Arabidopsis thaliana: one gene and its partners. The protein of the gene in region 2 purifies or fractionates together with the protein of the main gene of each other region. This does not show direct contact. Each region holds a gene or a part of one and is shown on either strand. Other genes may lie near its edges. The genes, in order: SEC6, CLUB, EXO84B and SEC15B.

What was found.
Region 1: the proteins of CLUB (region 2) and SEC6 purify together in Arabidopsis thaliana (affinity purification with western blotting; one study listed by BioGRID). This does not show direct contact.
Region 3: the proteins of CLUB (region 2) and EXO84B purify together in Arabidopsis thaliana (affinity purification with western blotting; one study listed by BioGRID). This does not show direct contact.
Region 4: the proteins of CLUB (region 2) and SEC15B purify together in Arabidopsis thaliana (affinity purification with mass spectrometry, with the first as the bait; one study listed by BioGRID). This does not show direct contact.

The regions. Positions count from the first base shown.
Region 1 is NC_003070.9:27,008,034-27,015,600, reverse strand, and holds the start of SEC6 (SEC6), read right to left. Parts: upstream 6,038-7,567; 5' UTR 5,727-6,037; intron 5,632-5,726; 5' UTR 5,580-5,631; coding exon 5,451-5,579; intron 5,258-5,450; coding exon 5,219-5,257; intron 5,133-5,218; coding exon 5,044-5,132; intron 4,957-5,043; coding exon 4,866-4,956; intron 4,696-4,865; coding exon 4,606-4,695; intron 4,501-4,605; coding exon 4,430-4,500; intron 4,179-4,429; coding exon 4,086-4,178; intron 3,732-4,085; coding exon 3,573-3,731; intron 3,247-3,572; coding exon 3,139-3,246; intron 2,943-3,138; coding exon 2,807-2,942; intron 2,714-2,806; coding exon 2,669-2,713; intron 2,330-2,668; coding exon 2,274-2,329; intron 2,165-2,273; coding exon 2,056-2,164; intron 1,728-2,055; coding exon 1,587-1,727; intron 1,487-1,586; coding exon 1,373-1,486; coding exon of another isoform or gene 1,307-1,372; intron 966-1,306; coding exon 882-965; intron 796-881; coding exon 709-795; intron 532-708; coding exon 487-531; and 3 more. UniProt on the Arabidopsis thaliana protein: Component of the exocyst complex involved in the docking of exocytic vesicles with fusion sites on the plasma membrane during regulated or polarized secretion. Involved in polarized cell growth and organ morphogenesis.
Region 2 is NC_003076.8:22,097,727-22,102,763, reverse strand, and holds the start of CLUB (CLUB), read right to left. Parts: upstream 3,001-5,037; 5' UTR 2,709-3,000; coding exon 2,645-2,708; intron 2,252-2,644; coding exon 2,022-2,251; intron 1,750-2,021; coding exon 1,568-1,749; intron 1,208-1,567; coding exon 1,024-1,207; intron 752-1,023; coding exon 661-751; intron 439-660; coding exon 278-438; intron 165-277; coding exon 75-164; intron 1-74. Other genes in the region: PHOS32 (Adenine nucleotide alpha hydrolases-like superfamily protein), read left to right, coding at 3,071-3,791, 4,882-4,937. UniProt on the Arabidopsis thaliana protein: Specific subunit of the TRAPP II complex, a highly conserved vesicle tethering complex that is required for the proper transport of proteins in post-Golgi trafficking pathways to the growing cell plate in mitotic active cells.
Region 3 is NC_003076.8:20,249,951-20,256,802, forward strand, and holds EXO84B (exocyst complex component 84B), read right to left. Parts: upstream 5,090-6,852; 5' UTR 4,817-5,089; coding exon 4,676-4,816; intron 4,515-4,675; coding exon 4,400-4,514; intron 4,200-4,399; coding exon 4,129-4,199; intron 3,969-4,128; coding exon 3,871-3,968; intron 3,661-3,870; coding exon 2,640-3,660; intron 2,247-2,639; coding exon 1,731-2,246; intron 1,517-1,730; coding exon 1,328-1,516; intron 1,233-1,327; coding exon 1,096-1,232; intron 1,010-1,095; coding exon 853-1,009; 3' UTR 536-852; downstream 1-535. Other genes in the region: AT5G49840 (ATP-dependent Clp protease), read left to right, coding at 5,293-5,949, 6,027-6,088, 6,176-6,276, 6,381-6,460, 6,674-6,724. UniProt on the Arabidopsis thaliana protein: Component of the exocyst complex involved in the docking of exocytic vesicles with fusion sites on the plasma membrane during regulated or polarized secretion. Involved in polarized cell growth and organ morphogenesis.
Region 4 is NC_003075.7:1,036,467-1,041,582, reverse strand, and holds SEC15B (exocyst complex component sec15B), read right to left. Parts: upstream 3,470-5,116; 5' UTR 3,427-3,469; coding exon 2,443-3,426; intron 2,392-2,442; coding exon 1,012-2,391; 3' UTR 985-1,011; exon of another isoform or gene 809-984; intron 769-808; 3' UTR 519-768; downstream 1-518. Other genes in the region: AT4G02360 (transmembrane protein, putative (Protein of unknown function, DUF538)), read right to left, coding at 1-404; AT4G02340 (alpha/beta-Hydrolases superfamily protein), read right to left, coding at 4,180-4,450, 4,551-4,789. UniProt on the Arabidopsis thaliana protein: Component of the exocyst complex involved in the docking of exocytic vesicles with fusion sites on the plasma membrane during regulated or polarized secretion. Involved in polarized cell growth and organ morphogenesis.

The DNA of each region.
Region 1 (7,567 bases), on a different chromosome or scaffold from region 2:
AAGTTGGACAGAAGACCATATCTTAATTCTGAAATGATTATGTTATAAAGAACACAACTATTACATTATATAACATGTAGAAAATCAATGCATATGAGAATAGTTTTATCTATTAAAAATCAATGGAAACCAGTAGCAACAGTATCAAGGAGGTGACAACGACTCGACTGCCTCTATTCACACATTAGTAAAGCTAATAGATTAGTTCTTCAGAATAGTAGATACCTTTCTGGTAAAGCTTGACAAGTAATTCCTGAACTCCTGGATCCTCAAAGATAACGCGAACTGTTTGATGCACTGCTTCCTGAAATCAAAGGACCAGATGGGACTTGTGTAAAATCCAACATAAATTTTAACTTTAAAGATCGCAAGATCAAGTTGAAATTTCATTTCAACAGCCATCTGGGCAACTGTAAGGCCATAAATCGAGATGCAAAAACTATATTTGGATTGAAGACCAGGGAGAAAAAGGAATCTTTGACGAACCTTAGCCACCTCCAAGAAACCTTTGCAAGTGTCTTCAAAATTCACCTGACAGAAACACCACATTAGAGAAGCATTTTATTAGTATGCAAACAAGAGTGTATGTGCACATAGACGTGGAGTATAGTGGGACTGAGAGTGGGCATGATGCAGTGGAATTTGACATATCCAAACAAAATAATCAATTGCAACGAAATTGAGCTCAGAAACTGGCAGCTGGATTACCTGCTCTGCATAATTTTGTGGAAGAGCTTCTAAAGTGCTATTACTTAACTCCATGGCAAGGTCGTAGCAGCGAAGGTTGTTGTTTATCTGTAGTCAATATTAACATATAAATATTCGTCTGAAAATGGGAGAAAGAAATAGTGTCATCAAAAGAGTCATATCTTTTGACATACCATAGCGCATAGAGGTTCCAGACCAATATCAGATGCAGGTTCATCAACTCTCTTCTTTTCAGCTGCTTGGAAATCAATCATAACCTGAAGTAATTCACAATATGAATCAAAATTTAGAACATGCACAATGCTACAAAAGTTACGAAATTTAAGAAGTATAAAAGTTAGACACAATGAAAGAGGGGGGAAAATAGAAAAGAGAAAAAAGGGGGTAAACGGAATTCAACGATTTTGGGTGAGATATGAAAAAAAAAGCTGGGAATGGGTAAAGTCTCCAACATTAACTTTCACGAGTCTTAGAAGAAAGCAAAGAACGATTTGAAATTTCTGAGTATATATAGTAAATAAATAGCCTGAGTAAGGAAATGGAATATTTTCAGTTCATAGCCGAACAAAGAAATGTCTTTGCAACCTCTTTAACTTGCCTGAATAATAGCTAAAGCAATCCTGTACAACATAACATCCGTGCTGTTATCTCTGACAATTTGCACTTGCTCTCCAAGTATTCTGAATAAATCTACAGCAGCCGGTGTATATAATTTTCCTTCCTCAGTTTTTTTAGGTGGTTGCACCTTATCCGCCTCTAGGATATTCATGTACCATTTCTGCAACCAAAGAATTGGCAACAAAAGTTTAAGCAAAAAGAATTATAAAAATTTTTAACGTCAAAAACTAGCAGAGTAGGTCAAACGTGTATGTCATTACCTTCGTTGTAGCTTGCATTCTTTCAACATATGCATTCATTAGAGGATCCATTGAACCGCTCTCAGAACACACTTGAGCTAGTGAATCATCAACACCAAGTGCAATCAAGTTTTCTTGGTACTCTACCACCCAACCAGTCACCTAGCAAGATCGAAGAGAGAAAGAAAAGATACATCACTCTCTAAAGGATACCTAATGCACAGAGACAAGGTAAAAAACGAATGAGGCATTTTGATGAGGCAACACAAAGACAGTCACATAATATTAGTACCCCCTCTTATAATTTCCCATGGTGTTCCCTGTCAAATAACTCGGACTAGCTTGACATTTACTTAAATATCATGCATGGTTGATTAAAAATGTCCTTGATATTCAGTCAGAAAACACAGAGCCAAAGCACCAAAAGCAGTATCTGCAAAGTTTGAGTTGCGACACAACATGGGAGAACTAAGAATCATGCTTTACATACCTTTAAAATCTCTATATTTGTCAGATCGTTTGCTCTGTCACTGAGCAATCTGAGCATTTGTATGAATCTCTCGGTATACAGGTTCACCATAAGCTGAAATATCTCGTATCTGCCAGCAAAGAAGATTGCTAAGGAACCCTTTTTCACTTGGGGAACAGAATAAATTTTAAGCTGTAATCTTTCATTGTCCACTTGAGGAAAACGAGATAGGAACAAACCTTGGAGGAAAACAAGGAGCCACATAGTCATAAATATCTCCAAGTTCCTCTCCAATCTAGTTGTGGAACACCATAAAAAGAAAGTGAAAACCCAGTTGATAAATATATATTTGTGAAAGATAACAGAAGAAAACGAGGTTGACATCAATCATTATGGAACAGGAACAGTAATATAAGACGGTCAGGCCAATTTGGAACTTTTGTATCAGAACAGTAACATACTACTAGTTCATCAACCATATTTATTAAGAACCAAAAAAAAAACTAATTCAGTCAACTAAAGGTGATCTACTGAGAAACAAAAATATATTAGATAGTTGAATATAATTTCATAAACTGCAGAAAAGAAAAAATGAAGAAAAGTGTATGAAAGCAAGGGAAACAGTCGCACAAACCATTCTAGCTTCTTCCAAAGCTGCTTTTAGATCTTCAAAGACAAGCTGTTCAATAGTTCAGTGTTAGGATGACCACACAGAGAAACACATTACTTGTAGCTATGCCATCAAATGAAATTTTCAAAAAGAAAGTCCCACCGTCAAAAGCCTGTTGAATCGATCTTCAACCGCCTTCCGAATTTGCTCGTAGCATTTGTCCTTGTAGCCTTTCCCTTGGACTTTTAATTTCTGTTGAGCAAGACCCTTTGACGACGCTGACGTTGTAGTAGATTTCCTGGATTCAACAGAATAAATATAGGACATGTCACAAATGATTATGGGGACTTTAATAAAATTCCATTGCTTTTCAGGACATTAAATCAATGCAAAATATAGCTTAGTCAAACCCCTAGTAAAAAAGTGAAAGATATTTTGAATAACAGATAAGACAACAAATCAAGACAAATACGAACAAAAAATATCAGACTCACTTGCCAGGCCTTCGAGGATTTGCTACAGATGCCATCGCACCTTCTCCCTCAGCCTCTGCTGCTTCTTCAGCAAGCTGTTGGTCTAGAATTTCTTGCATCTCAACAACCCTTTGATAGAATAAACCATTGAAAGTTAGTACCAGTTCTAGTTAACTAGTTCACTTTAAATTAGTCTACTCATTTTCTTCTGGATAGGAGACTTTGTGTTTAAGAAACTTCTAATGCCAAAATAAAATCCATGATATTGCAATGCATGTTGCATTAAAGGAAGTAAAAAGAAACAATTTGCTTGTCTAAAAATGATTGTCACAGTAACACAATGACTTCGCTGTCCTACTAAACCAGTTTGAACTGATCTTGATGCTAATCACCAGAAAATAGGTATACACTATCTTCCTTGCTAATTAAAATAGATTTGTTTGCAACAAAATTACTGAAACGTAATAATTTGGGAATATATGCCATAGACAAAGGTAAAGAATGTCTCTGGTGGGGGATCATACCTCAAAGCACGAACCAGTGTTTGCGGACTGCAGAACAAAGATACATCAGTAAGTTTAAGATAAACCAAAAGGATATGTAAGATTTGATATCTTAGCAGAATTAAGAGCTTAACAACAGGAAAATAGCTTATTTCAACATGGAGCAAAGTCTAAACGTGTACTTAATCCCCAAGGTCTGGCTAAGAACATAAAACAGAGAACAGAGCATTACATAAACTATGTATTATCATATAAATGCTCATATATAGCTACAGAATAAAGGGTACAGTCCAACTATGTCCATCTCATCTTTTGACATTGCTTGCATCCTTGATCTAACTTCCTAGCCTTACTCTTATAAAAAACCAGCAAGAATCATAGTTCTAAAATAAGGCAGTAGAAATAATTAAAAAAAATGGAATTACACGGAGAAGTTGAGCATAATCATATATTTACTCAAAATACCTTTCTTTAGAAAGTTTGTAATAGTTGGAAACATGACCCCATAGTGTCTTCTCGAATGTTTCCCATGTTCTATCAACATCTTCAAAATACTCCCTGAACCCATCAAAACAACTCTTTAGAAGTTGGTATGCATGCTCATGTAAAAAGAAAAGACAGTCCAGAGGCGGGATCAAATCATCATATGCACTACCAAAAGAGTAACAGCTCTACCTACTGCTCATTACTTTAGCATAGAGACCTATTTTCTTTCATAGCACACCAGTAACTCTTGAATTAAAGCTTTCGGGCTCACTTCATGTAAGTACAAAAAGCAAAGAAAGGAAACGAGTGGAATATATACAAACCTCAGCCTCCCAACCTCCTCTCCAGCAGCTGCTAATGCAAATCTTCGTTTACCATCAAGTGCTGTTAATCTCTATGGAAGAAAAACAGAATATTATGTCTTACACCAAACGTTCTTTTTTTCAAAGTGATGCAGTCAGAAATGCCTGGAATCCATGGGAAGAGGAACTCATGCTACCTCATAAGTGTTAACGATTTCTTTATCATCACTCAAAGAATCCCTAGCCGCAGCAGCTTCAACAGAAATTGACATCATACCTTCTACATCCTTGAAAAAAGAGAATGAGGTAAAAATAAGTTGACAAAAACTTGGAAAGCATTTAAACATCTGAGACGACCATGCAGAGCTATATATATTTGCGTTCAAGAATAAGTTAGAAGGACAACACTGAACCAAATACTGTAAGCAATACAATCAGTGCTCATCGGCATATCTACCTTTAGAGTTTTGTTTAGATTATTCCTGGCGTTACTCAGCAGCTTTATTTGGTCATGATTGTCAATCAAAGTTTGACATTCCTGACAAAGCCTGTGGCACAAGAAGAGAAGTTAGAGGGAGAGAAATGCAAAAGTTGGTAACTCAGCTTCAAGAATCTCTAGTCAAGCAAAAACATACTTGTCGATAGAAATGAAATTATCCCGCAGTTCATAAATGGTTTTCTCAGATGATGAAAGTGACTCTAACCCAGCTTGAGCTTGTTCAACCTGAAGTTTGTCAACAGCTATTACTTAAGAACAACAAAAAAGTCGAAATACATTAAAGTACAAAGAAGGCCAGATTAAAGCTGTACCTGCTCAGCAACCATAGTACTGAGCTGTGCATCATTTGCCTGATTGAAACAGCAAGCATCACTAGTCAGGTCATTAAAAATTTCCAGAAAATCGAAAATAAAAGATAACAATAGCATATCAAAACCTAACAACTCAAATCTAGCATTGCTCAGGAATCACTAATACTCAGTGCAAATGATACTTCAAAAGCCAATTCAGTTCCAATTGCAATTCAAAAGCAAGATGTCAAACCTGTTGACGAGCGATGTAATCGGCCTTGATTGAAGAAATAGACTGCAAAAGTTCAGGTAAGGGTAAGAGCTTCGCCACTTCTCGCACAGCCGCTTCCTTCGCTTCCACACCAAGATCTTCGACCATCATCTTCGCTAAATCACCTTATTTACGAACTCCGATCCTAAATTGAAGGCTACCTCTGCAAAGTTATTCAAAATTCCAGCACAATTACGATAACGCAGAGGAGAATCAAGAGATCTGGAAACAGAAACGTAGAGGAAAAATGGACGCAACCGAATAAGAAGTCATTGAGCAAATATCGAGAGCCAAATGTGCGATTCTCCAACTTCAATTACTTCGTCGTCCTCTTATCTTCTTCCTTCGCTGATTCTGAAGATCCTGGAAACAGTGATGTTGGACGCAGATCAGCTGGGAAGAGAAGCAACGATTAAATTTCTGGAACGAGTCTCATCTATCGTCTCGCGACTCTAATGGAAAGTTCGGAAACGCTGAAATTTTCCGTCTCGCCGGTTTTGATTTTTCTTTTTCTTTTTTGCCAGCTGTTGATGCAAACCTATTTTTTTTTTTTTTTTTTTTGCAAACGCTAACGCTAATTCGTTGAGCAAAACGCAAATCTTAACCCCATGCTCGGGTTCGTGTTATTTTTTATTTTTTGTTATATGTTTAATCATTTGAAATGTCACTAAAATATCATCGATTTTAAATCTTACCATAACGTATCGAATTCGAAAATATTAGTCGTAGGGGTCTGATTGGTTATCTAGCGATGTTACATACGTTTGATATTAATGGGGTTGCATATGTTTTGATAAGTTTATAATTTGACGACATGCTTTGCAAAACTTGGATGTGATATATTAGTTGTGATATCATCAAAGTTTTGCACATAACGTAGTACATGTAATATATAAGAAATAAATCGATGAGATGGATGGAATATTGAACTCGACGAAAAAGAAAAACAAAGCCTAAGAAAATGACAGCTTCCAAGTACAAACTATTTGAAAAGAAATTTGTAAAATCTCATAAATATCAATAGAATAGAGTTACAATATTTTGAAACAAATAATTATTCATCTAGAGTCCGTTTAGCGTAGAGGATAAACGGACGCACAATTTTCGACAATACATTTATATAAATATAATCAGTAGCAAAATGATAATAGTTAGGCATTAGAGTCACTAGGTAGTCTAGGTTCACAACATGGACATACCATGCGACGTAGGTAATGGCCATACAAGCACGAAGCAAGAGCTACCATAAGGACGCCCGATACCACGCCGATGTATTCTGTCAAATGATACATGTCCATCTTCTTGTTCACCACACCACCAATCTCTAATCTTTCTTAACCTTTTTTTTCGTGTACTGATTATATTTATATACATGTATCGTCGACACTAACTTTACATTTTTGTAAATATATCAGCAACATTTGGTAAGTTTACATTTTTTCATTAAGAACATACTAGAGAAAATTCGAAAGTTTACATTTAGGAAAAAATCGAAAATATATTATGTTCGAATTCTTTCTAAAATACTCCACAAACTGATATTATGATATTTACTAATTACTACTACTAGTAAAAATATATTTTAAGATATGTGTATTTCATTATTCAGCTTGTTTCAGATTTTGATGGTTTACATAAAAAGAAGAGTCATTGGTATCTAAAAGGAATAAGATCTACAGAGTTATATATCAATTACCAAATATGTGGATGTGATATATTCTTTATCTCTTTTATATATACACTAAATTTCTTTTTCTTCAAAGGAAGCATCCAAGGACAGATAAATAAACAGACAATCTACAAACTTTTTCATATGTTTTTCTTAAGTTTTAAACGTAATTATTATGAATAGTTTGGAATGATACAGTTTTAGTCACTAACCAAAAAATATGATTAGTAGCTAAATAAAGTACATTTATATGACATATAAATACTTAAAAAACGTACAAAAAGATTGGTGCCATTTGTGTGACACAGAAAATCCCAGCAAATGTCGAGAGAGAGAGAAAGTATAAAGAATGTGACCGGCAAAAAAGAGATAAAACAGTAGAGAACCATATTATTTGCCATTTCTTAGAAGAATCCACTGCATGATATTC
Region 2 (5,037 bases):
GAGAGGAAATAAGGTCGGTCAAATCAACTAACCAAAAGTAAGATAAGCGTTTCTTTAGTAACAGTATAGGCTACCTCATGAAGGGTCAAGGCCTTTGCAAAACTAATAACAAAAGAATATCCCCTAGATGCAACTTCAAATGGACGATTCAACTTGAACAACAGCTGCAAAGAACCACATAGAGGTAAGCTAATGAAAAGGTTGTAAAAGTAAAGCTACAGTTTTGAAAGGAGAAAAGGACACTGTGATCGATATGATGTCTCTTGTGTGCACCAACCCTAGATTGACAGGCAAAGAGATACTGTCTAAACTCGAATTCTCTAAAAGAATCATCTTGCACAATCTGTGTCAATGGTTTGCTTCCTGGTTTCAGCAGCACAGCTTGGTCATCTTCACCGTCGAATCCTCCAAAATCCCTCTGTTTCCCAGGCATATTAACTGCATTGAAGGTGATGCATGATAGATTATTTGTTCAGAAAAAAAAAACTTGAAAAAAGAAATCAGTTTGTTGGATGAATACTGATCCCAAATGCTTTAAGAGATAAAGATACATGTCAGGTTTGTCAAAACCTAAGAATATAAAATATAACAAATAGACAAAACATGAAATTTTTGCTGCCACGGATCTGCAAGAGAGAGATATAGAGGTAGGAAAAGAACCTGTTTCCAAATAGCAGAGCTCTAGTTCATCATATTCACGTAATGCATCTTCATGAAGATGAGCCATCTCAAATATGAAAGCCAAACTTTCCTGAGACAGCATAGAACATTATGACCTTTAAGAAAATGAGAAAAGTTTCATCAAATGTGACTGCAAGGACCAATGTTGATTTCTAAGCTTGGGGATTATTTTCATACTTCTATGGAAGAAACAAAAGGGGCACATAAATCTCCATCAGAGACTTTATTAAAAAAGTATAAAATCTAACTACAAAAAGGAAGAAACAGGATTTTAAACCATTTTATTCATTTGCGTAGAAGTCACATGTCACTTTCCATTCACAAATTGAGAAGAGAGCTAACCTTCAGGATGAAAAAGTTACAAAAGTTCCATATTGGCATAAACCGCTGCTCACTGAGCTTGCGTATCTCATCCTCGTAGAATTGTGCGCGCCTATCCAAGGTATTCCTGATGCACTCGGTAATCTTTAATTCAAGGTCCTCCCAAAAATTTCCTTCAGGGCCATGTACATCCAGCTTACAGCACCTTAAAAGCATTGCAAAAATTATCATATGAAGACTATGTATGGCATGCATAAATGAAGTAAAACTGATCAAGTAAATAAAAAGGTGTTTTAGCGTTTATCCCGTCTGCATTTCCATAAGTATATAACTTAAAGATAACTTCCTTTAAATGAGTGATTACTGCTAAATGGGTTTAGTTTATGCATCTAGCAAAAATATGAGTGATTGCAATCGTGCAAACTGTTTAACCTAATCTATTTATGTTAGAACTATAGTAGGAGCAATCAAGTCTCATTAGGAATCTGGCATGGTATTTTTTCGGTTCGTGCCTGCTTGTATCAGAGCAAAAAAACATAAACACAGTCCAATCTGCATAGCTTACCTTTCTCTCTTTTTTGAACTGAAGTCAACTTCAAGCTTCGCATATACTTTCTTGACATTTTTAGTTGCTTGATCATTACTTGGATGAGCTTTAGATACAAATACAATAAACCATTCCCTCTCATCATTCTGAACAATTAATTTCAGACGTGGTTTGAGAATGTTTTTAAACTCATCAAGATCCTGCAAGGTCAAAGGTATACTCAGAAAAGCTAGAAGAACAAAAATTGTCGAACCACATAAGTGATAAATCTAACCTAATCCAGAAACCATATACATTAGAAACGGTACCTACTATCTAAACATAGGTTCTTATCTCTTATAGAAAAGGAAAACAGAAACGAATATCATCAAGCACATCATCTTTGTTTCATATTTTGGCACGTGACTACTCTCCACTGCCAAGATTGATACAGAAAAAAAAAACACATATCATCATATCAACAAGCAAGTACCTCACATGTGACAAGAACTATAGTTGCGTATGGTTCTCGAAACCAGAACAAATACTGCTCCTGCGGGAATCGACTACGAAGCCTCGCGTCTGTAGTTAATATGAATTCAACCGGCAAGTTCTCAACAAAAACCGGATTTCGAGTCTTGTTAGTCAAGAATGCTCTTTTTAATGGCTGATGTTCTTCAAATAAACCTTTCACTGTAGGCCACAGATCACACACATCTTCCACTGTAAAAGAATATGCAAGCAACCACTATTACAACGAGCAACGGGAACAATATAAAGAGAAGACATCTTAATACTAACGAACAAGTAGAGTTTAAGATCAGAAACAAAAGAAATCATCATGATCAGTTCCCTTCAGGAATGGATGCTCATTTCTAAGCACTTTTAGCTTCATTCATGAGTATAACCTGACCAACCAACAACCTAACAGATTCATATCATCTGATTTGATCCTTCACCTACATTGAGAAACTTTCCACTAATATATAGCTATGACATCGCAAAATGTGGCAGAAAAAAAAAAGGAGAAATAAGATCCTAATCGAATGCAGCAATCGTAGAGAAACAAAACCCCTAGAAATGTACACATTTGAAAAAAATTGGGGAGAAATTCACCGGCGGCGACGAGACGATCGCAGGAATTCTTAATCGTCTGGAACTGAGCCAAGTAGTTCGCCATCTGAGTCACCGATCTATACGAATCATACGAATAACTCGATCGAATTATACAAAGAGATCAGAATTTGAGTGAGGTTTCGTCTTCTAGCTGCCAGAAAAGGAAGTGGAGGAAATCACCGACGCCGGAGATCTAGTGAATCGTCTTCTTCAAAACTATGGCGCTCAGATTTGATCCTGACCGTTGGATCACTCCTTCTATTAACTACATCTATATTAGAATGCTTGTCGTCTTTGTATATAAATAACGGCATGCAGTCTAATGTTCTATTAAAAAAACAAAAACAACGCTTCTTTCTTCTCCGTTAAGAGAAACCTCCCTCACTCCCACTTTCCGACGAACAAAAACAACATCTGAAAAAAATCATGAATCCAGCAGATTCCGATCATCCACAGCTTCCAAACATCAAGATCCATCACCCTCCATCTCCACGTCACTCTCACCATCACCACTCCTCATCTACTCCCTCCTCCGCCGCAACTCCAACACCAACCGCCGGAGCTCGTCGTAAAATCGGAGTCGCAGTTGATCTCTCCGAAGAAAGCTCTTTCGCCGTTCGTTGGGCTGTAGATCACTACATCCGTCCCGGAGACGCCGTTGTTCTTCTCCACGTTTCTCCAACCTCCGTCCTCTTCGGTGCCGATTGGGGACCTCTCCCTCTGAAAACTCAAATTGAAGATCCAAACGCTCAACCTCAACCTAGTCAAGAGGATTTTGATGCTTTTACTTCAACAAAAGTTGCGGATCTAGCTAAACCGTTGAAGGAGTTAGGGTTTCCTTATAAGATCCATATAGTGAAAGATCATGATATGAGAGAGAGATTATGTCTTGAGATTGAGAGGCTTGGTCTTAGTGCTGTGATTATGGGAAGTAGAGGTTTTGGTGCTGAGAAAAAAAGAGGAAGTGATGGCAAGCTTGGCTCTGTTAGTGATTACTGTGTTCATCACTGTGTTTGTCCTGTTGTTGTGGTTAGATATCCTGATGATCGTGATGGACCTGTGCCTATTGTTACTGTCAAGTCTGGTGGAGATGATGATGGAGATGTTGTTGCTGCTTCTGCTTCTGCTCATCATGAACACATCAAAGGTCAGGGATCAATTATCTCTATCTCTATGTGATTCAGTGATTGATTAGATAAGCTGCTTTCGTTGTTATTTTTTTCATGGATGTTTCTGTTGATGTGTCAGATTTAGATTCAGTAGTGTAGTGAGTGTTGTGAATTTTGTGATCACGTGAATATGTTGTGAAAAAGATTGCCATAGATGGTAGCACAGGAAAATGAGATCCTTTTATAGCTGAACTAAGATGATTTTGTCGATTTAGTGAGAAATGCTGTCCATGTTCATTGCCTTGCTTACCCGAAAATTGAGGATGATGGTCATGTACATAGATGATTTCCTAGCTTTAGTGTATTCGTTCTATGAATTTGTATATATCTTCTTCATCTGCCGAAACTGTTTCTATTTACTGAAGTTAGTTGTATAGTATATATCATAATTTTTGGTGGTTATGGCTAATTTGCTGTAATATATGTTAGAAGATTATTGTTCCCCTACACATGGGACAAAGAAGCGCCGACATCGTTCTATTTCTTGCATTGTTTACACTACCCATTGATTGCGTTTAGACTTTAGATTAAAAGTACTCTAGTCCAGAGGAAAGTTTCTTTTGACCCTTGAAGATAAACTTTTCTAAGTGAGTTTGTTTGATTTATTTTTCCTCTGTTCGGTTTAGTTTGAGGCAACATTAAGTATCATTAGCATCCAAGTATTATGATTCTTGACTTGGGAAAAGGCAGATAAGAAATTATGTCTTCTATAACCCCTCATTTCGTAAGTTGGTGACTGTATACTTGTTGTTGTATGAAACATTGAAAATCAAATAGTGCAGTAGTTCTAAAAAGGAAGCTTCAATTATACTTTTTGTTGTTGTTTGCTTTGGTCCAGACTAGGAAAGGTTACAATGTTAACAGAGGAAAATTTAGGAAAGAATGGGAATATGTAGGAAGAATCTGGTTAACATGCCAAAATTTTTTTTATCTATACTCTTGGGTAATGTTTAGATATCAAATCTAACTGAGATGTAGGCACTACCTTCTTACTTTTATGACAAGTTCAGATGAAAACTTGTCAAATAAAGTTACTGAGTTTCGTAGATTGCTTCTTCTGTAAGATAGTCACTGGTGTTAGTTCTGGAGCATTTGGTATACGTTACAAGATCGGAGCTACCTAGTGAATTTGTAAAAAGATCTGAATGTACACTGATAAGGTAAAAAGGCTATTATCTATAGGTTACATTTGTTATCTCCACCATACTGCATCACGACTAGCAA
Region 3 (6,852 bases), 1.8 Mb from region 2:
TAGAGCTATCAACATCACATCTTCCTTGCCATGTTTTATACATTCTGAGGCTCCGAATGGTGACTGCGTTTTGCGGTGCGGAAGAAGTGCGGTGCGGTTCAAATAGGAACGAAAATACATAGATACATATGTATATGTAAAGATTTTGATACTGTTACAGCACTGTTGCGATACGGTTTTGGTTACCATTCACAGCCTGAGTATCACCACCTACTTTTGTTTGTCATCTGTCAAAACATGAATCTCAAACATGTAGAGAAGCAAAGGAGGTGTTTGCATCAATGGCGAGGGATGACTCTAGCATCTCTAAGCCTCATTCGCGAATGATTATTGCCTTATCGGGCATGCGTGGCCAAATTACCAAGCCTTTAAGGGTCCATGTGGTAGGTAACCGTCCTTACCCATTATTCAAACTTTTGTACATCCCAAGATCCGACCCACCGTACCAAGAATTAGACTAGGAGTTTACACAACACGATTTACTTAAAACTAATTTACGCTATGAACTACATGATTCGAGTAGGAAATACAAAAAGTGAATCGTAAGATATCTCATTCAAGTTTGCTACATCTGATCCAATACCAAAACAGAAAGAGAGTGTATCATAGAGAAGAAAGATCAACACTCTCTTCAATATTTTAACCCAAAGAATGCATCCATTGAGAGAGAGAGAGGACCAATACAAGAAAACAAACATGTCAACTCAACAACATTTACACGCCCCCAAAATCATCTCATCAACAACTGGAGACTCTACAAAATAGAAAGCTTTTGGAAAAGCAGAGCTGAAAAGAGAAGATCAAAAGTTATTGACCATTCACCTTCTTAACAAATGTAAGATGGGTTTGGTTTCAATAGCTGCCATGAGATCTCGCTGATGAAACAGACTGAGCTGACACTGAAGCAGTCGGACTGTGGACATCCCCGTTGTTGCCCTTTGTCTTGCCACTCAATCTTTCCATCGCATCCACACATATGTCATTGAACCAATCGTCTTCTGGCAGCTCACTGCACATCATTCACAACCACATTTTAATCATTTATACTTACCATAAAGGCTAAAACATTGCAAAACACCCTCAAAACCGATGTACCTATATGGATCTATCCCTGTTGCGGTGAAAGCTGCTAAGGCTTTAGATATTATCTCATTAGTTCCCCTGTGCAAATTCCTCGATAGGTAGCGACCTTGGGATGCAAAGCATATGACAAACTTCATGTCCAAATACAGCTGTGACAGATGCAGGTTGTTTGTTAACAAAGGTACACAACAATTTCGATGCTCGCTGAATATACATATACAGAAGCAAGAATGAGTGTACAAACCTGCCGTAGGCCAAGAGGTCCCAAAGGTCGAGGACCTTCCTCAATGTCATCCCAAAAGCTCTGGTCTCCAGAAAGCCATAAGATCACAGTCTCTGTTAATCGCATCAACAAAGATATGGCGAATCTTTCTCTTCCTACAAACATATCTGCTGCTAGACTTGCCATCCTGTTAAGTTTGGCAAAAAGTTCCTGTTTTCCAACGACGCAACACCCAAAGTATAAGAATATTAAGCTAAAAAAGACAGAAAAAAATCATGTTCTTGAAGTGGACAGTAGACTATGACAAACATGGATTCAACTCTACAGTATCCAATCTGCCGATAAGAGTTCCCAAGTGACTACACATCTGGGTACAGTACTTCATAAAGGCTAACTGGACTGATGGAAATGAAACAACAACTACCTGGAATATCAGAGATGGAAAGAAGTCCACATCCTCGCCATTTTCATCTATGTTTACGTACATATCCGCAGACAGATGGCTATCTCCTTCCTCAGTAAAAATGAGATCCAAGGCATGCTGGCGACAAAACGCATCTTTTAACTTGTCAACAGTACTAAGTAAACGCCTCTTCCATTCTCGTTGTTCAGGATTACGATTTTGTCTGTCCAAAGGTCTCCTTAGGTCGTCTGTCCTCTGACCAGTCTGATCAAGAGAGAGTTTCATGGCAGCACGTGGAAGTAATTCATCCGCTAGCAATGATGCATTTGCGAGTAATGCAAGTTGGTTTGCCTCCGTCTCAGCCATTTGGACAATCTTATTACATGAACTTTCAAAATTTGGATCTTCTTCTTCTATCGAACCAGGAAGTGCTCTTACCAGCACATCTACATATGAGTTAAACACCCGAAACAGACCTTCCAGAGCTTTACTTCCCAATTGCATACTTAGCAGAGGTCCTACGTCCTCAAAGAAGTCCTGCAACAAAATACCATTATCAAAAGGATCTACTTGACAAATACATCCAAAGTTCATGACAGTCCACTTGGGAATCCTCTGCCTATCAGAGCAGCTAAGACAGAATTGGTACTGCCTAGAGTTTATAATAACTTTTCAGTGGGAACGCGAGTGCAAGTTCTAATCAATCGTCATCAACGATGGCTAGTCAATTTTACAGCTGATGTGTAAACTCATATTATAAGCAATTTTCATGGGATACTGGCATATCTAAGAGACACACCAGACGTCTAAGAGTGAAAAATATTTCATTTTTCTAGGCATGTCTGCATTTCCTAAGCACTTTATTTTTCTAGCACAACTTTAGAAAAAGGCTGAAAATTTCGGAGAAAAGTGTTTGTCAAGATAGTCTACCTGGACCATGAGATTAAACCGGTGGGCACTGGATGTAAGCTTATTCTGAAATGCTGTACTAGCATGACGACTACCAGCAGGAGGACTTGTCAGTACCCAATCATCTGCAGCAGCCATAGCTGCAGTGTTTTCTTCAATTCGCTTAAGATTTGCCTCCAATGCCTGTTCCACAATAGGCTTAAAGTGCTTTAAAAGCACTGGGCAAAGGGACAAACCACGAGCTTCCAACAAAGAACAATGCCCAAGAGCTATCTGTGCACACTCTGCGGCAGCTCTTAGTCCTCCCGCTGCTGCAGAAGAAGCTAATGCATGCCTTTTAACAAGAAGGGAAAACGCCTCTGTTTGCTTAGTAGCCCAAGTCACAAGTTCAGAACTATATGCTGGCTCTTTCCCAAAGATTCCCAATGAGTCACTAGAAGCTTGAGAGATAGCTGAGAACACAAGCTGAGAAAGTGCAGCAGTGTACGCCCCTCCATATGAGGTGCTAGAAGGACGAAGACTTTGCATGTTGTATTGATATCTCTGGAAATGGGCATCAAGAAGTACAGTATGGGCTCGAGGACCATCGCCAAGCCTTTTGAGAGCTGCTATGGCTGACCGAAGTTCCCCACCTCGAGTTGAAGGTTGACAAGCAGCCTTGGCAAGTTGGTCAGCTAATTTTTGCTTGCGTTCGGCAATAGCAAACTGAAGAGATGAAAGTACAGAAGAGCTTAAAGTATGCTTTTCGTTTGCTTGAGATACTAAAATTTCTCCCTCATCAAAAGCTGCCAGAGCTTCATCCACCCTTCTTTCAGCTAATAAAGCATCAAGGTGGTCAGGAAATTCCGTAGCCCATTTCTCCAGATCAGAGAGGCCGTTGTCCTCAAAATTCAATAAACCATTCGCAAGAGATTCATCAGAAACTTTATCGTCATCAATGTTAACTCCATCTGCTAAGCCATGGATTAGAGTCGCCTGAGTGGAGAGAAGATTTCTGATAGATGATAGCTCCCCCTCAAGATCTGATATCTCTTTAGATGTGCTGCACAGAACAGAAAAAAGTTTAATTTTCAAAATAACACACCGCCAAGAAAAAACAATAAGGTAGTGCGAGGAAAAAGAAGTCATATGCAAAACGCAAATGCACCAATACCCACAAGAAATGAAATAACTTGAAAAAGTAGAGCTTTATTATCACATCAACTTCAAAGAAAATAACCAAGCACTAAAAACAGACAGGATATCAGCTAACCGTATAAAGGCTGGATAATTAGCATAAACACTTCGCCGCATTTCTTCAGCAGATGCTCTCTTCAAATCCAATAGATACGAGCATAACTGCTTTATATCCTGTGAACCGAACAGAAATATGTCATCATCCCAAAATAACTGAGAAAAAACAAAGAGTCCAGCCAAGTAATCCAACAATCTATGTTAACCAAATCAAACACTACTCTTTTTGTAGTAAACTCTAGAAGGCCTAAACTAACTTTTCCCTCAGCTCTCTCACACCATCACAGAAAGTGACTACACAGACGAGACACCCTTTATACCCAATACCATAACCGAATTGAATCTTTTCTGTAACAGAAAACGAGAACAACAGATTCTGTCTCTGATACAAGACATAGTCATCCATGTATATTCACATGAGCTACATTCTGTATTACACTGAACACATCATTTGGCAAGCTAAAAGCTTATAAATGGGTACTAAACCTATCAGCATTTCTTAAGAGTAACATTTTTACATAATCATAATTCACAAACTGCCTTCAAACTCCAGAAGATCACAAGAACAACCATACAAGCAATGAGTATTGTTACATTGCTCATCATCTTCTCGAGCGTATAAAATCTGCTGCTACCTAATATCCATTCCACAATTACGATTTCCTACAGCTAAAACGAAATGCAACAAAACAAGAACACTGCGATGATACAATCCCAAATCTACGAACAAGTCCCCACAGACTCAGTCCTAGAAAATTCTCACTCGTGATAACAACAAATCAACGAGAATAAGAACACGAAATGATAAAAGAACAGAAAAAAACCTTCTCGTTGATAGAACATTTGGATTGCACATAAGCATCAGCATCGAACTTATCAGACTTGAACAGACTCAATCCTTCCTCGACTCTGACACCATTTTCCTTCGTCGGCGTAGCTTTTGATCTGGCCGTCTTCGCCGCCATCGTTAAACTTGCCTGTCTTCTCAGAGAAAACCTAAAATTTCACAGCGGTTCCAGATCAGCAATCCCAGTGATGCCGGTAATGTTACCGGAGAATTAAGCACAGATCTGAGGGAGCTCCTAGATACGGAGAGCAGATAGAGAAAGTGGGTAGAAGAAGATGATGATCGAGTTGGCAACCAGAGCGATTTAGCCAACGACGGTAGCTTGGCTTTTTCGTCTGCTTAAACAAACGAATTTTCTTGTTGAAAACTAATAAATAAAATAACGACTCTGGGTTTTTTTTACTGGATTTTTTACTAGTAAACGGCAAAACAGAAACCCTCTCATTTGCACGGAGGCTTTCCTTTATCCTTCACCTCTGCCATCACTTGAGCTAAACCGACGCCGTTTTAAAGAATGCTTACTTTAAGATTGCCGTTAATGTAAATCTGAGCAAAAACCTTTGAAGAATCATATCATCGAGACAACAGAGAGAGATGTTTTGTAGCTTATCCATTTCCAGATTTGTCTCGAGGAAGACAATAACATCATCATCTCTTCTCTCTCGCAGTTTCAGATTCCTTCTCTCCGTTGATTCTCCTCCTCACATCCCTCTTCTACGCCCTTCTTCCAACACCCTAATCCCTTCCTCTTCCTTCTCCCGCCGTATTTGGGACTCCTGCAGCGGCGGCGGCGGAGGTGGCGGCGGAGATGATTATGATCACATCAGAAGTGACGTCAATTGTCCTCGTTGCTCTGCTCAGATGCACGTCATCTTCTCAAATCGTCCATTGTCTCTAACAGCAAGAGAACCAGGGATCTATCAAGCTGTTAATTTCTGTTCTCAATGCAAAACAGCTTTTTACTTTAGACCATTCAAGCTCTCTCCTTTACAAGGGAGTTTTATTGAACTCGGGAAAGTTAAAGGAACTGATGATGACCATGATGATGATGATGATGATCAGAAATCTTTCCCTAGGAATTGGAAAATTCAAGGTCTTAGAAGCGATGAAGATGGTGAGGATGCTGATGAGGAGGAGGATGAAAGTAATGGTGGTGATAAAGAGAAGCAATCTGTGATTAAGCTTCCAACTCCTAAGGAAATTTGTCAAGGGCTTGATGAGTTTGTCATTGGTCAAGAGAAGGCTAAGAAGGTTTGGTTTCGGTCCCTAGCTTCTTCTTCTTTGTGTCTAAATTAGATTCTTGTTTACATATCTTTCCTTTTGTGCAGGTTCTTTCTGTGGCTGTTTATAATCATTACAAAAGAATATATCATGCTTCTAGGAAAAAAGGGTTTGTCTTCTTCCATGCTCTTATCATTCTGATACTTTATATGGGATACAACAAAGCTCGATTCTTTTGCTCTTTTTTTAATAACAGGTCTGCTTCAGAATCATATAACATTGATATGGAGGATGATAATATTGATCACGTGGAGTTGGATAAGAGTAATGTGTTGTTGCTTGGTCCTACTGGTTCAGGTGCATATTGTTGCTTGCCATATTGTTTTGGAGAGTATTTGGAGATACTGTTTAGTATGATAATGATCTTGGCCTTTATGTTTCTTGCTTGGTTATAAGAACAGGAAAGACTTTACTGGCAAAAACTTTGGCGCGTATTGTCAATGTGCCATTCGCTATTGCTGATGCGACTTCACTAACTCAGGCAAGTTGTTTCACTTATCCCTCTTAAGGTTTGGGTACTCAGAACATTAGTATGTTGTACATTAGGGAAGCATTAGGCCCACTAGGATGGATGCCTTACAATCCCTCATTTCGAAAAATATTTTGAATGAAGTGATGATGTTTTTCTTGCTTTTTAGAGGAATCTTAACACAAGTCTTGCTCTTAGCATAACTAAACTACTCTTCTTGTCCAGGCAGGTTATGTTGGTGAAGATGTGGAATCAATATTGTACAAACTATATGTGGTATGTCTTACTATCACCTCATATTATGTCTCTGGTTTTACATATTTGTTTATACCTTCATTTGTAATATAATCTTAACAACTGCTTACGAAATAGTTTTTCGCTGACTACGTCTGAAACTACAAATG
Region 4 (5,116 bases), on a different chromosome or scaffold from region 2:
TCAAAATTAGCAGCCGGAAAACTCGCCGACGCGATTCCGACGGAGAAGTCGAGATCGGCGCCGTCAAGAGACACTTCAGCAATATTAACCCAGAAGAAAAGAACCTTAACACTAACTCCTTTCAGATTCTTGACATGACCGGGTGATATAACGCCGGAGATAGTTGATTTGTACTTGAGCTGGTAGGATTGGATGGTGAATTCACACGTGTCATTGAAGTAGACTTTGAAGTTGCCTGTTTTTGGGTTAAGCTCATAGTCAACCACTCCTTTTGGGAGGATTCCTGGTGGTAAGTTATAGAGTTTGACGGCGTCGTAAGCGGTTGGCTTTTGGCCGGAGACGGCGAAAGAGACAGTGAAGAATAGAAAGAAGACGATAGAACAAGTATTCGCGTCTAGCGACATGGTTCTTTACTTCTTTAAGTTTTGCTCTTATGATTCGTGTCTAATTTAGCATAAGCTTTGAAGTGTCTCATTAAGTACAGAAGACGAAAACAGTTGTTAGGTGTTTGTGTGTTCTGGACTGTCTGATGAAGAGACCATGCAAATTAGATGTACGGTGACGATTTGATTGACAGAGAGAGCACACGTGTTAATAGGGAAAAACGACGATCACGTGGTAACCAAACCAACCTTGATTGAAATAAAGAAACTCAGCCAAGTTTGCATTCCACTGGACTGATTTTACTATTTCATGATCGTAACTAAAACCGTACTAAGGATCCGATTGATGACTTAATGCGGTAAAAAGCTACGGCATAGTGAAAGGCTGCAGTGACATGAACTTTGCAATTCAAAATCAAACTATTGAACTCATTAACGAAAATGCTATTAATGGAAGAAGAAAAAAAAAAAAAAACAATATTGGGGTGAAATCAGTTTTAGTGTTTTTTTTTTTGCCTTTCTTTTTGAGAGACCAACGAATCATCAACAATGAAATACAAAGCAATCATATAATTAACACAAAGGACGGGATCGTACTTACGTTTTGGGTTTGTGCTGGGATCCATCATCAGCTCACATCTTTCAATCTCTTTATCAACGCATCTAAAGATTTGTTCTTCGGGTTTTGCCTCGACCCTCTTGTTCCAAAAGTCCCGAAAATACTATCTGATGGATCTCTGAATTTCTCTGAAACCGTGGCTACTTTCCGGTAATCCAAAGCATTGTAGCTTCTTTCTCTGATCACCGGGTTTACAAAATTCTCAGGATGACTACTCAGAAGTAAATTGATCATCTGTCTTATCTCGACAAACGCTTTTTTCATCTCTCTTGCTTCTTTATCCGTGAGCAATGGAGTTAGGTTCTCTGTAAACGAGTCCAACAACTGAATATCCACATCAAGTCCTTTGATTGCAGCCATGCTCAATCTTTTTACTAGATCCCCGCATAACGTTCCAACGATTTTCTCAGAAATGTGAGCAAGGACATCACGCAAAACCCTTTTCAAGACTTTAGCGGGTAAGATCTGTTGTGCGGTGGAAACCAAAGTTTCCAAGTAGATCAACACTTCGTTCATGTACTCATTCCCACCTTGTGGTATATCGTCGCTTGTCCAATTGACATTCTCGAGTAATGTCATGAAACCATCTATCTTCTTCTTAAGCATTCCTGAGAGTGTATCTTCTGCAGTGTTTTGAGATTTCGTCAATGGGAAATGCCTCCTACCTCTCTCCGCCATTCTCAAAGGAACTCCTGAAAGATGTGCAGCGTGACGGAAGAAGAAATCGCAAGCTCGTTCAAATACGGCCATGTTTGCTGCAACTTGCATTGCCTGAGAAACTCCATGAACCGACGTGCTAATCAGCTTCAACAGAGCCTCATCGAGAACCTCGCCTAGAAGCCTATCCAGATACTTCTTCACTACATCATAGAAATCAAGCTGACCTCCGTGAGACATGAAACTAACCGAATCCTCGATAAAAGACCTCACAATCCGGCAACAATCTGGGACGGTGGTCGAAAATGGAGCAATGAAAGGGAATGCCGGTACTATTTCTGATGTTTGTAACTGGAAAGAGAGCACATTCATGGAATACTCATATTCTTTCTTCATCAACATCTGCTCAAACTTATCTGCTGATAAAGCTTCTGTGATCTGTTTACGGCAATCAGATAGTAACAACTCATGATACTTGTCCCTGTGCTTGCTTAATACTTCGAGAAGGGAATCAACAGCATAGCCATACCTGCGTAGACTCACCCCCAACAAGCTCACATAATCCTTAATCAGTAAGAGATGATTAGCCGTCTGCATTCTAGAGAACTGATCCTCCAACACAGCACACATCTTAGTAACAGCAGTATCCCACAAAGTCTCCACTTCCAGCTTCGAAATCAACCCTCCTCCAGTCCTTAAAACTCTATCCTCTACTATGAAAAACCCAGCAATCTGTGCGAAAAACGTCTGATGTGACTCGAGAAACGGAGTCATAGTAGATACCTGGAAGTCAGAGGTAAGCTGAAGATCCCTATTGTTATAATAGTACTGCTTAAAAGTATCCCCAAGAGATAGTGTCTGATGAATGTGATAAGCTCTATAAAGTGGTGTCAAATCAAAACCTAGCAATCCACCTCCGGAACTACCACCATCGCTGCCTTCATGGCCAGAACCAAATTCATCATCCTCTTCTTCGTTTAGCGCATAAACGCAATCGCGTAGACTAAGTCTACTCTGCTCCTCCGCTTGTCTCTGCTTGATCCTGAGCTCCTCCTCTCGCTGACGAGCCGCGGAAGCTTCACCAATAGCCAACTGACCTAAATTCCGACTCACCACACGGATCTCAACCAACCAATCTCCAAACTCCTTATTCACTTTCCTCTCCACATAAGATCGAATCGCCGGAATCCTATTCTCAAGCATCCGTTTCAGCGTTGACGAAGGAGTTTTCTCCATGAAATCACTCTCAATCGAGTCCACACATTTCAACGCCATGTAGAAATTACCGCTCTGAAGATGCTGATTAGCTCGAGAGACAAGTTCCATAACACGAACACAATGAGTCACCGCTCCAATCGCCAGATCGACGTTCTTAGACACAGTCTGAGCCTCAACAAGCGAATCGAGAGACGAAAGAAGCGGCGCCGCAACAGATTGGAGTTTAGAGTTTGAATCGGAAAGCGCAGATTTAAGCGATTCAACATCTGAGAGAAGCGATTTAAGATCGTCTACGGCGTGGATAAAGTCTTGATAGTGAGCTTTACATACCTCTTCGATCTCTGATTCCTTAGATCGTGCGAAAAACTTGAGATGGTGAAGAAGAGTCTCTGGTTTCCCTGTACCGAAAGTTTTCCGAACAAATGGTCCTAAATCTTCACCGTTACAAATGGCAGACGATATCAAGAGCTCGTCGAGCTTCTCCGCCGAATCTATACCGGCTCCGGCGGTTGTGGAGCCAACTTTCCGCCGTCCTTTCGACGATTGCATTGTTTTATCTCCGATTAGGTATAAAGCGTTACAGCGAAGAAGAAGGAGGAATTTTGGATTTGGGACAACGAAACTGATTTGGTGGTTTTTTCTTCAAAGGGAGCTCGAATTTTGGGGTTTGACTAAAATGACATTGCTGTAGAAGCGGTGCGACGGAAGAAGACGAGGGTGTGTTTGTCTTTTCAAGCTGCGTAGTGGTTTTTTCTTCTGACTGGCGTCTTCAATTAATTGTGAATATTTGTCAAACTGAGTTTTACGCGTCACAGGCGCGTGGTCGAACGCGCTTTAGATTTTGTTGAAAATATCCACTGCCAAAAAATTAATACACCAATTCTGTTGACAAAAAAAAAACATTGGTATTATATATTTTATTGAATTTATTCAGTTGGTAGGTATAAATGTCCTTAGTAGATTTATAATTTTTGATAAAATTGTACATATATTTCAGTTTTTTGATATTAATTTCACCTAAAAAAAATCATCTATGCTTAATTGAAGTTTTCTAGAAACCATAGGAATTCAACATTTTGAAAATTAATTTGGACATAAGAAAAGTTTAAGGATATATTGAACTGGAGATGGCCAACATTTGAGAAATTATTTGTTCTATTATTATATTTTGCTAAATTATTAAACAAGCACAATACACAGATAGCATCCTTGAAAACATTACATAGTAGGGCTCTAAGACAGTAAGTAACCCTGATCAAGCTTAATCAACCTTGAATTTGACATTGTGCAGACGGAGAACTACTACAAGGATGCGGTTTCGCGGGTTCTGAATTTCTTGAAGAAGCCATAGATATGGTCAGTGACCTCGTCAGGCTTCTCTTGATGGAGGAAGTGACCTACACCTTCCATTACCACCACTTCTTGTAGAAAAGGTACGTGCTTCTTCAAACCACCTTCATGTATGTATTCCTTTGTTCCGGGGATATTGTATGTTATGTCTAGATCACCCACTATGAATTTCACAGGGACTTTGATTTGTAGACCGGTCCATGGAGCTGTTAGTTCCCAGCTTCTGCAGGTTAGGATAAGACCAGATTGATTCAAGTCCAAGATTAACCATGAAAAGATGATTGTATGATGTAGAATAGGTGGCTAGAATTCATAAGACTTACAGGTTCAGGGCGCGATAGTAGTTTAGCCCACCGGTGAAGCCTTTTTGGCTAAACTTGTCTCCGTAGAACCTGACATCTTGTTCGGTGAGCCAAGCGGGCAAAGAAGGTGGATCAGGTAAACCTCTGAAACCAACTGACTTTGGAATGCAAGGTGGACGTGGGTTACGCGAAGTGAAAAATCTGGTTATTAACTTTTTTGTATCAACTTGAGCAAAGTCCTCTTCGATCTCTCCAGGCTCCTGAGAAAAAAGAAACTCAAAATCTTTAGTAGGACCAACTTAAGCAATTGAAGACCACAAGACTGATCCAACTACATTTACTTAAAGCAAGTAACTCAAATAAAGTAAATGACTTTGACTTTGACTGCACTATATTAAAGTAAGCACTAATTGCCTTTTTCTAATCATCAATAGCAACTTGCATTATCAGAGTCAGAGCCTGAGCTAAGTTCAGCTATGTATAGGTAGGTGGCTGGTCTCTGTTTCTATAGACACAAACAGAAACTAATAGTGGCTAAGAAATTTCTCATTGTGTATACATTTACACATAAAAAGCTCAACTTTCTT